Oryctolagus cuniculus: one gene and its partners. The protein of the gene in region 3 purifies or fractionates together with the protein of the main gene of each other region. This does not show direct contact. Links are inferred from orthologs where the notes say so. Each region holds a gene or a part of one and is shown on either strand. Other genes may lie near its edges.

Region 1 (3,746 bases), about 34 Mb from region 3:
CCTCTGTGTTTGGCACCCACTGGAAATCATGGCACTGAGTCTCTAACAAGCTTCCCTAACAGACAACACTCCACCACAAGCTGCAGAAGAATTCAGCGTGTCCCGGTGACTCTACAAGGAGAGGACCTTCGGTCTTCTGTGCCTGGTCTTCCCTCCACCTTGCCCCATTAGCCTTTTACTTTTGCTGACTTTGCTTTGCAGCCCTTTGCTGCAATAACTCAGACCTGCGACTATCACTATAGGCTGAGTTCTTTGAATTGTCTTAAATGATCCAGTGGGGGGAGGTCTTGGAGGTGCTGTCTTGCTGCTCTGAGACTGCCCTATGAGGTGAGAAGCTTTCCACCTGGCTGTCCAGGTAGAGCTATCATCATCACACAGAAACCAGGAAAGAATACCCACCCTCTTTACTTAGCTTTCAGCCAGTTGTGAGAACGCAGTGAATAAGCAAGCACTCTGATTGGCAGGCTGAGCTATTAAAAAAAAAAAAAAAAAAAAAAAAAAAAAAAAAAAAGCCAGTCATAGAAGGCAGCAGAGATAATAAACACTTTTTTTAAAAAAAAAAGCTAGATTCCAAGATGCACTCGAGCCAAATTGTGAGACAGGAAGTTGTGGCTGGGAGGCAATGTGAGATGGTGAAATAACTTTATTTTCCAGTCACAGCTGTGTTCAGATCCAGTCCTCTCTCCCCCTCCCGTGTGTTGGCTGCACATCCTTTCGCATTTAAAATCTGATGGGCATTAGGTATCTTCACATGTAAAAAGGGAACGGTAATTCCTACCTCATAGAAATGGGCTCATAATCCACTCGTGCCAGGCACTTAGTAGGTGCACAATAAACAAAATGTGGGTGCTGTGAACTTCAGATAACGCCCCAGACCCACCTAAGCTCCAGAGCGAAGCGACTGCCCAAAAAACACCTAGACGGTCACAGGCACTCGACTGTCGCCGAAATGCCCTCCCCAGCCTGAATCACCACTTCAGGTGCCACAGGCAGGCATAGACGAAACCAGGACTCACCCGGCTCGGTTCACCGGCAGACGCGGGAGGCGCAGAACCCACCAAGTCCAGGTTCCCCCCGGCAGTCGTCCCGCAGCTACCGCAGTGCCCACGGGTTACATTTTAAATCTCGCGGGAGGGCCTGGGAGCCAATCGCTGCATTCGCCCTCCGACCCGGAAGCAGAGCCGGCGCACGCCTCCTCTGCCTGCAGCGGAGACCAGGTTGCTTTTGGTGGCTTCTCGGCGCTCTCCGGTGCGTATCCCTGTGGGAGCCTGAGGCGCAGCGCTCTGCGGCTTCTGGTTTCCCTACGCTTCCACCCTGTTCCTGGGAATTCCTGCCTCCCATCTCGGGCTCAGGGAGGTGGGAGCGGAGTCTCTAGGGACTCGGCTGGCCAGGCGCGGGGGCTCACTGTCGGGACTTCTCTTGGCCCTTCACTCCTTGTAGGTCTGGAGAGGCCAGCAGTCCGCCTTGTGCGGGAGGCCCTAAGGACGTAGTGACCCCAGGCATTGCTTTAATGAGTAATAGGTGAGGTGCTGGGACCCGGTTTCCTGACCTCTAATCTCTTGCGTGGATATCTAATCACCCAGAATAAATGTGCAGTCCTTCTGCCTATTCGTTGAGGTTCATAAGCCCCCCGGACGTAGGATTCACCTGATTCTCAGTAGATAATCATCAGATGCTGTATGCTTTTGTTACTGAGTTCATCAGTTTGCCCGACAACTCTGAATTTGGGTTTGGTGTAATGAAAAGAAGAAAACCTTTAAAATCTATATTTTAAAAATCTATATTTCTCATGTGGGAATGCTACTTGCAAACTGCACACACTAGGCCCTGAAGGTTGGGTAAAATTTTGTGCCTGGTTTTACAAATGTTGTTTTTATATTACGCATTTTGGAGCTCCTTTTAACTGCTTATATGGTAGCACTTTTCACGCTGGATCAAAACCATACCTAAGTTGTGATCTTCAAGGCAGGAAGCTGTGGTTTCCTTCTCCAGCACTGGTACCCAACACAACAAAGTCAATTCCTGGCTCTGCTTTTGAGCTTGGTAAATTAGTTAACTGCCCACTTGGTAAATTAGTTAACTTTTCAGTTTCTTCATCTGTAAAACGAGGATGTGCACATATTGGCTATGATAGTATCAGTAAAATGCTTAACATGACACCTAATAAATAGTACTCTATAAATGTTAAGTCTCAATTTTGTGAATATATTTTCTATTAAAATTATTCCATTTTCAAATACTCAGGATATCTTTTACATAAACAGAATTTTATGATATTACTATTCTGTGGGTATCTCTGATGAGTATGGTTAAAAGAAGAAGATTGTGGAACAAATGTTCAGCCATTAATAATTAGATTGGCTGTTTTTTCCTGCAGTTTTTGCCCCTTGGGAAGTACTTTTAAATGTTTCTTTTGAATTGTGTGTAGCATTGCAATGCCAGAACCATGTTTTGATTCATTTGCTGAATAACACTTTGACCATTGCTAATTGTGTCTGTGCTGTAATCCACAGTTTTGTGACGTTGTGCAGTAGAAGGCTGTTTTATTTTTACATCTGCTCAAGTTTTGACATACAATATGAAGCAAAATGCCACAAGAAATGCTACTTACACTGTGGATTGTGAAGATTATGTGCACGTGGTGGAATTTAACCCCTTTGAGAGTGGGGATTCAGGAAACCTAATTGCATATGGAGGCAATAACTTTGTGGTCATTGGCACGTGTACATTTCAGGTTAGTGTGAAAAACTGCAGTGAATGAGAGTGAACATATTTCACTGATAAGAAAACTTACATGAACAAAAGCTAAACTTTGAAAGTGTGTATTGAGTTTAAATGCTTAAAAAAAAAGATCCACATAGAAAGACATCCCAGCAATATTTGGTTAAGATTTGTGTAAAAATGCAGATGGTGATAAAAGGAATGTGAAACTCCTCTTTTGACTCATGATTAGTAATGAATGATTCATGTAATTGAAGTACATGACTGACTAAACATTATAATATACAACAAAAGCCGCAATTGAGATCCAATGAATTACAGTTTTTCTGCATTCTGCTTTGACATAGGAAACAAACTAATAATGAAAGTCTAAAAAATTATCTTCCAGGAGATTTTACAGGTTTCCTATTATTCAGCTTTCCTATTTGTTTTCGTACATTTTATACCTCTAAAACGTACATCTGGAGTAAACAAAGTATGAGATCGTTATTAACTGAACAGGCAGTTGGGCATAGCCACCAAGAGCATGAATTCTAGAACAAAGTATTTACTTCTGCTTTTTATACCTCATAATAGCTTGGCAACCTTGAGCAGGTATTTAATCTCTCCTATAAAGATGAGAAATAATATTCCATTAATAGAGAGTTTTATGAGGATGTAATTAGTAAGTATATGTATGTATAAGATTCCCAGAAGGCATCTGGCATGTTGTGATCTATGTATGTTTCATTGTCATTGATATGGGCAACAGTGACACTCAGTCTCAGACCCTTTATATCACCAAAGTTAAGATTGCTTTGTGGTGAGCACACCATGTTCTTTCACAGGAAAGCTAGTCTGCATGTAAGACAAACTTTTGAATAAGCACAATGTTCAACCCTGAGGAGTCTCTGGTCAGTTCATTGTTCACCAGAGCATTATTCATAGAACTATGTTACTCAGATTAATAGATGAAGTAATGCAGCAGTGACCAATTTTCAAAGACTTAAGATAACTTCGTCACTGAAGTAGTAGTCTATTATTGT
Region 2 (3,746 bases), on a different chromosome or scaffold from region 3:
CATATGGGTGCAGAGGCCCAAGCACTTGGGCCATCTTCTACTGCTCCTCCAGGAGCCGGATCAGAAGTGGAGCAGCCGGGACTCCAACCGGTGTCCATATGGGATGCGCGCGTCGCAGGCCCGCGGCCCAACGCTCTCTGTCCGCCCCATGGATGATGGGTTGGGGGCCTCAGTGCCGGGATCCGAGACGAGTTAGCCTCCTGGACTCCGGTATCCTAATCCAGGAATCAAAGGGCCCGGACCCTGGTGTCCGCCGCGGGCGGCTCTCAGCACAGCGCCCAGGTCGGATCCTGAAGCCCCTTACTCACCTACCTCGACCCCCACAGGCCGTCTTCAGAGCACCCAGTGTGGGGGCGGGGTGGGGGGATACACGTCTCTGGTGAGCGCTCACTCAGCCAGGCGGGGGCCCGGACCCTGGTGTCCGCCGCGGGCGGCTCTCAGCACAGCGCCCAGGTCGGATCCGGAAGCCCCTTACTCACCTACCTCGACCCCCACAGGCCGTCTTCTGAGCACCCGGGGGTGGGGGCGGGGTGGGGGGCACACGTCTCCGGTGAGCGAGCACTCAGCCAGGCGGGGGCCCGGACCGCGGCGACGCCGGGAGCACCTGAGGAACGCCCGGGCTCAAGAAAGACAACCCGACAAATTCTGCCAGAAGAGCAACCAGCCCGAAGCGGTTCCTACTCCCGCTGCCCGAGCCCCAGCGCGCCCGCCCGCCAGCCCGCCCCGGCCGTCGGGTCCGCGGTTGCCCGCAAGGCGCCTCCCTCGGCAGCGGACCCGAGCGAGCACCGGCGGGAGTCCGCCCGCTCCCTACGCCTCTCCGGACACCCTCAGGCTGACTGACCTCCCGCAGAACGTGCACGCGTGGCGCTCGAGCCCGACCGACTTGGCTCCGCCGCGGCCGTGCGCTCGCGTGCCGGGACCGGCTTCTAGCGGCCAGACTCCTTCCAGGTGCCAACTCCACGGCCCCTGAGTTCATCAGCAAGCGACTCACGCCTATCCCCGGGGGGTCTCGGTCAGGCGGCGCAGATTGATGACGCGCGCCTCCGCCGGAGCGACAGCGGTCGCCACCCCGCCCCCTTGCGGACGCCATTGAGAGCGTGGCGGTAGCCCGGCGCCGGCCCGCCGACTCGGCCCGGGACCGACCGATGCCCTCTAGTGGCTCAGTGTCTCGAAGCCGCCCTAGAGGACGACCCATGGCCAGCCGCGGCTGGGACGGTAAGGACTCCCCGCGTTGCGGGGAGGGAGGTGGGTTGACGAGTCCGAGTGTGGCGCCACCGCGCGGACAGTGGGCTCCGCAGCTGAGAGAAGAGCCCGGGGCGAGGAGGAAGGAAGAAGCGGAACGGGCGGTACGGGACGGCGTTTGCGGCAGGAAGGGAAAGAGCGAGACACCACTTCCCCGGGGGCTGCGAGGCCGGAAGCGGCCCGGATCCGGAAACCGGCGCGCTGCCGCAGTCGGGCCGCGGGCGCTGGGGGCGTTTCGGGCCGCGGCTCACGGGACTCGCCTTCCCAGGTTGCCGCCGCGGGACCCTCCGGCGGGCGGGCGCTCGAGAGCCGCCGAGCGAGACGGCGGAGGCGGCCCAGGCGCCCGGGCCGTGCGGGTCGTCGCCCTTCTCCTCGGACGCCGCCGCCGCCGCGGCCCCCGGCGCGGTCGACATGGCGGCCGTGCTGCAGCAAGTCCTGGAGCGCGCGGAGCTCAACAAGCTGCCCAAGGCCGTGCAGAGCAAACTGGAGAAGTTTCTCGCCGACCAGCAGTCGGAGATCGACGGCCTGAAGGGGCGGCACGAGAAGTTCAAGGTGGAGAGCGGTGAGTCCTCGGGCCCCGGGTTTGCGGACGGCGCGGCCGTTCGTGCCGGGAGGGGTGGTCGCGGGACCCCGGCCGGCCTCCGAGGAGTGGGGTTCGTGGACGGCGGCGCGGCGGGGCTCGGGTGCGCTCGCTGGGCGCCGCGGCGGTCCGCGGCGGTCCGCGGGGGCGGGCAGCGGCCGGGGCGCCGCCGCCGCGAGCGGAGACCGGGACGGGCAGTGCCTGCCGCCGCCGCGCGCTGCGAGGGGTCGGCTCCGGCTTTTGTGCTCGCTGCCCGGGAGCTCTGAGTGAGTGGCGCCCCCGGGGTCGGCTCGCGCCCACGGCTGGTCTCGCGACCCCGCGCGTTCCGGCCGCGGCTGCGTGCCCGGCGCGCCGCCGGCCCCTCGCCTTGGGACTCCGGCCATTTCACTTCCACCTCCGTGTGGTCACTTGATGTGTTTGGCGGGCGTTGCGTGGACTGTCTTACCGCAGGTTTTTCTAAGCAAAGCAGTTTCAGTCTGAACGGTTCTTCCCTGCACTGGGTTTTCTCTCCGGTCGGCTGCGTGCTGGGCACTCTGGACGCGCGGGGAGCCCGCCTCGGGGTCCTTCCTTCTTGGAGGCCTTCGTCTCTGTCGTGTGAGATAGGGTAGAGAAGTGCTCTGTCAGTTCTCAGTCCATATTTATTCAGTTTCTGCTAGCCTGCGCTTTAAAGTCAAGGCTGTTAGACGTATGTACTGGCTGCACGGACCGGTGTTTGAAGCCGTCTCTTCTTCTGCAGAACAACAGTACTTTGAGATAGAGAAGAGGCTGTCCCACAGTCAGGAGAGACTTGTGCATGAGACCCGAGAGTGCCAGAGCCTAAGGACGGAGCTGGAGAAGCTGAGTAAGTATTGGGTGGCATCTTTCTACGTGTTGTTAGAGCTTTGGCGTCTTCAGACTTGCTTTATTTGCTTTGGGAACGTTTACTTACTGTTTGTGAAAATGCTGCTTAGGCATCACTGGTTTTGTTTAGAGCAGCATTTTGATTTTTCACTTCAGCAGTAAGGACTTGGTATGCATGTATAGTCGGGAGACCTGGGGTCTAATTTTGACTTTGCTATTAAATAGAGCAGTTTCGCTGGGGCTGGCGTTGCATCGCATTGAGTTAGGCTGCCACTAGTGACGGCAGCATCCTGTGGCAGACACCAGGTCAGGTCCCAGCTGCTCTCCCTCCAATCCGGCTTCCTACTGATGTGCCTGAGAAAGCAGCGGAAGATGGCCCACACACTTGGGTCCCTGCCACGCATGTGGGAGACCTGCAGAGCGTTCTGGGCTTCCAGCTTTGACCTGGCCCAACTCTGGAGCCCCTGACATTTGGGTAGTGAATGGGTGGATGGGAGATCTCGTCTTACCCTCTCTGTCACTCTGCTTTTCAAATAAATAAATTTAAAATTTAAGGGCAGTTTTTCGATATGTAGATCATAGGTATGTGATTGGAGTTTATAAGGTAGCCTGACCCACAGGCCCATCTAATACAGCTTTGCATATCAAATAAGATGATATATTTTCTTCAGAGATTTATTTATTTGAAAGGCAGTGTTACAGAGAGGCAGAGGCAGTGAGAGAGATCTTCCATCTGCTGGTTCACTCCCCAAATGGCCTCAATGGCCAGGGCTGGGCCAGTTCAAAGCATGGAGCCAGGAGCTTCAGCCAATCTCACACGTGGGTAGAGGGCTCCAAGCACTTGGGCCATCTTCTGATGCTTTCCCAGGCACATTAGCAGGGAACTGGATCGGAAGTGGAGCAGCCAGGACTAGAACCAGTGCCCATATGAGATACCAGCAGTGTGGGCAGTGGCTTTACCCATTATGTCACAGTGCCAGCCCCCATAAGATGATATTTTTGAAAGCATTTTGGGAAAGTGTAAGTGTTATGCTATTGAAGAACATTCTGGAGACAGGGCAGCGTATTTTAAATGTTGCTGTAT
Region 3 (3,746 bases):
TTTTATAAAATATACTGAGGTAGTATGCTGTAGCAGGCCTAGGCTTTGGAGTAAACAAACCAATATTTGAATCCTGGGTCCATTATTTACATCCTTATTATCCATATTAACTTCTTGAAGTCTCATTTTCAGTCTTGGTAAAACAGATAACAAAAATCTTACAAGGCTGTCGAAATGAGCTGGGAGTTCGAGGGATAATCTGATTTCTTGGTGTGGTATTAACAAAATTTTCATCTTGGGATGTTCGAACTATAGGAAGAGTTAAGAAAATTTTCCTTGCAAAAAAGAGATCACTAAAGTTAGAATTAACCAAATTTTTACTACACAAAATACATGAATACAGTTAAGAACAAGGTGTTTTATAGCTACCATTTAAACAAGTAATTCCTCATGCCATTTAAATTCTCGGATGTCAATATTAGGTAACTACACATTGACCGAAGTGTTCTTTGATTTCAAATAAAAAGAGAAAATTTCATCTCAGCAAAAGCTTACTAAAATATGATAGCAGTAAAACAGAACATCTTTGTTTCCAGGAAAACATAAATTTTAATCTCATTGAACTTCAGCAATATATTTATCAAGAACATTATGTGTGAAATGAACAAACCTAATTTCTACAGCATTTTATTATAGCTAATACTGCTCACAAAAAGAAAATTCTATCACACTGATTCTAAACATACCACAATCGGTAACGTGATGCTTAAAATGCAAAGGATACTTAAAACTCTCTTTTGAGCACTCTGTTTCTTGGCAGTGCGTGTCACCTCTGCCTCTCGGATCACAGGGGATGACAAGTCTCCGAAGCCACCCCTAAAACAGTATAATCAAGCTCGGGTAAATGAAATGACAATGCAGCATGCACAAAAGGTCTATCAATAAGAACGGAGCAGGAGCCCCCAGGTCAGCCCAGGGATAGGTCACTCCAGCAGCTAAGTCTTGGATCTCTGTTGTTTGCTGAGAATGCCCTCTCAGCTCCGAATCCTGCTTATTCCTCCAAACCCCACTTTAAGGTCCCCTGCACAAAAACTTGGCTGACTGTCCAGCACTATGCTATTTTCTCCTGGGAATTTGTTTTAACACTGCTTTAGATAATTGCGGCATCAAGGTAAATCTTTTCTCTCCCTGTTGGAATACGGAATTCCTGAATTGCAGGAACCATCTCCTGAAAGGATCTTCTGCAATCTCCCAAACGCAGTCCCGCCTGTCTTACACAGGAGGCTGCGGTGGGATCACACGCGGTCGACAGTCTTCTGGAACAGTCACAGCCATACATCGCCCCCCTAAAACAGGTACCGCCTTACGACCCTTCGGCTGCACAAAGCACGCACTCTTTCACGTCCGCACATTTCGGAGCCTGTTTCTTTCCCAGAGACCCACATGCGCGCGCTGGCTCACAGGTGAACACCTGCTTAGCCCTCAGCCTCACGGGGGCTGGAGACACCAGGTCCGCGAAGGTGACCTGGCTCTTCCACTTGGTAGCTTCCTAGCTTTCACCGAGTTACTTCGTCTCTTTAGCCCCAGTGTTGCCCATGATGCTACTTCTGCTCCTACGACTGCTCTTCAGATTAAACAAGCTAACAGAATATACACCGCTAGTCCAGCGGCTGTCACAGAGGAGGCACCGTGGGGATGTTCTGCGGACTAATAACACCAGCTAGAACGTTACCTTGAGAGGTCTTCCCGATGACTTCCCGAGACGGGCTGTTACCTGCTCCATTTTCCCCACAGTGCACTACAAAACGCTTATTCCTTGACTTGGCGGGGTTATCGCTGCCACTACACGACGAATTCCCCGGGGCCAAGGACCTTGAATAACTCCTCTTTCTCGCAAGACGGCTGCCACCGCGCCCAGGTCGTAAGGCGAACTCGGTACCTATCTGATGCTGGCTGAGATCTCGGTGCCGTCGCCGACCAGCTTCACCGTCTCCAGCGGATTGCTCGGCATCTCGAAAGCACGGCCACCACCTACCCCGCCCACCCGCGACACCAAAGACGCTGCGGGAAGGCACCGGACAGATCGCAGGGTCGCGGCGCGAGTTGCGGGACGACCATCCACACCCCTTCCCCAACCCACGCCGAAAGGCTTTCCTCCGTCAGGTGCCGAAATCTCCCGGTCCGGGAAAGGCGTCCAAGGACCAGCACCCTGGACCTCTTCGGCTTCCTCCCGGAATCTGGTTTCATCTATTTCGTTCCGGCAAGAGCAAGAGGGACAAGACTCCCAGCCCAGCTGTCACCCCCAAAACTCACCTGTCCATTTTTACAGCCTTCTCCACCCAGGACCTCGCCAACTCGGCCTTGGGTTAGCCACCGCGTTTCAGCCTTCCCGCTCTCCGGAAGTAAATCCTTTAACCCGGAAGTATACCCTTGCCAAGAGAGCCCTGAAAAAAAAGGGTGCGGGAGAAACATTGTTCCCATCTTGCGCATGCGCAACTTCCGTTTAAGCGAGCGCAGGCGCACGAGAGGGCGCAGAAGGCGGGGCCTGGCCAAATTTACCGTGACGCACGACCCGCTACGTTGCCTGACCGGCATTTGTGGGCGTGGTCCAGGCGCGGTAGTATCCTACTGGGAATTGTGAAATACGTTGATAGTCTGGGACAATGAGAGCTCATTTCCTGGTTTTCTCTTCGAGAAGGAACCTGGCCTTGGAATTCAGTTGTGCTGGTTCTGCCCCGCACCTCACAGGTTCCTGGGTTTCTCTGTGCGCTCACTTCTGAATTGTGTGAAACCCCACAGTTTTTGAAACTGTTTTACATAATTGCTGTTTGCCCTTTACTTGGTATTTTTTTCCTTACTAAAGAGAAAAGAACCATCTGTCTTAAGAAGTCGAAAAACAAGCATAGAAAGTGACGGTATTGTCCTCTATTTCAAAGTGCTGTTTAGGCAAATTAATAAGAATAATCATGTAGGATATTCTGGCCCTGAAAAAAATTAGTCAAGATTCTGGTTTTGCTTTTTGCAATTTGAAAGCAGTGACTGGCTGGTTGGTAACCAGATGACAATAATAATGGTAGCTACCTTAGTTCATTGATCTAATAAGCCCGGTTATGTGTTCCAACTGCTAAATAAAAATTATAGGAGGCTGTTGTGTATTTTAAATATTTATTGATGTTATTTGAAAGGCAGAGATGCAGAGAGACAGAGATCTTCCATCTTCTGGTTTCACTCTTCAAATGGCCTCGGTGGCCAGGCCTCCGGGAGGCCAAAGCCAAGAGCCAGGAGCTTCTTCTGGATCTCCCATGTGGGTGCAAGGGCCCAAGGACTTGGGCCATCTTCCATTGCTTTCCCAGGCTGTAGCAGAGAGCTGGATGGGAAGATGAGCAGCCAGGACATAAGAGATGACGACAGTGCAGGTGGAGGCTTAGCCTTCTATGCCACAGCGCCAGCCCCAGGAGGGTATTGTTCAGAATAAGCCCTAGGCCCCTCCAACAGACCAGACTCACCAAAACACAGTCCTCACACCAAAGTTAAACAGCACCAAACCAAGCCCAAGTTGTTTTCTGACCTGAGATTCAGGAGAGAAGTGACAACTGAATTTCCCACACGGGCCAATTTCTCTCTCTCTTTCCCTTCCTTCTTTTCTTTTCTTTTCTTTTCTTTTCTTTTCTTTTCTTTTCTTTTCTTTTCTTTTCTTTTCTTTCTTTTCTTTCTTTTCTTTTCTTTTCTTTTCTTTTCTTTTCTTTTCTTTTCTTTTCTTTTCTTTCTTTCTTCTCTTAGATTTATTTGTTTTATTTGAAAAGTAG

Evidence for each region. The genes of interacting proteins can lie anywhere in the genome.
Region 1: the proteins of NUP107 (region 3) and NUP37 purify together in Homo sapiens (affinity purification with mass spectrometry; 7 studies listed by BioGRID and IntAct, with this or other methods). This does not show direct contact. The link is inferred for Oryctolagus cuniculus from reciprocal best matches to the Homo sapiens genes NUP107 and NUP37.
Region 2: the proteins of NUP107 (region 3) and TPR fractionate together in Homo sapiens (co-fractionation; 4 studies listed by BioGRID and IntAct, with this or other methods). This does not show direct contact. The link is inferred for Oryctolagus cuniculus from reciprocal best matches to the Homo sapiens genes NUP107 and TPR.

The regions. Positions count from the first base shown.
Region 1 is NC_091442.1:105,071,932-105,075,677, reverse strand, and holds the start of NUP37 (nucleoporin Nup37), read left to right. Parts: upstream 1-1,139; 5' UTR 1,140-1,248; intron 1,249-1,946; exon of another isoform or gene 1,947-2,085; intron 2,086-2,513; 5' UTR 2,514-2,578; coding exon 2,579-2,734; intron 2,735-3,746. Other genes in the region: PARPBP (PCNA-interacting partner), read right to left, coding at 779-783. UniProt on the Homo sapiens protein: Component of the Nup107-160 subcomplex of the nuclear pore complex (NPC). The Nup107-160 subcomplex is required for the assembly of a functional NPC.
Region 2 is NC_091444.1:3,555,845-3,559,590, reverse strand, and holds the start of TPR (nucleoprotein TPR), read left to right. Parts: upstream 1-1,064; 5' UTR 1,065-1,145; coding exon 1,146-1,215; intron 1,216-1,429; exon of another isoform or gene 1,430-1,510; coding exon 1,511-1,804; intron 1,805-2,558; coding exon 2,559-2,663; intron 2,664-3,746.
Region 3 is NC_091442.1:71,066,199-71,069,944, reverse strand, and holds the start of NUP107 (nuclear pore complex protein Nup107), read right to left. Parts: upstream 2,415-3,746; 5' UTR 2,262-2,414; coding exon 2,254-2,261; intron 817-2,253; coding exon 725-816; intron 250-724; coding exon 163-249; intron 1-162. UniProt on the Homo sapiens protein: Plays a role in the nuclear pore complex (NPC) assembly and/or maintenance. Required for the assembly of peripheral proteins into the NPC. May anchor NUP62 to the NPC. Involved in nephrogenesis.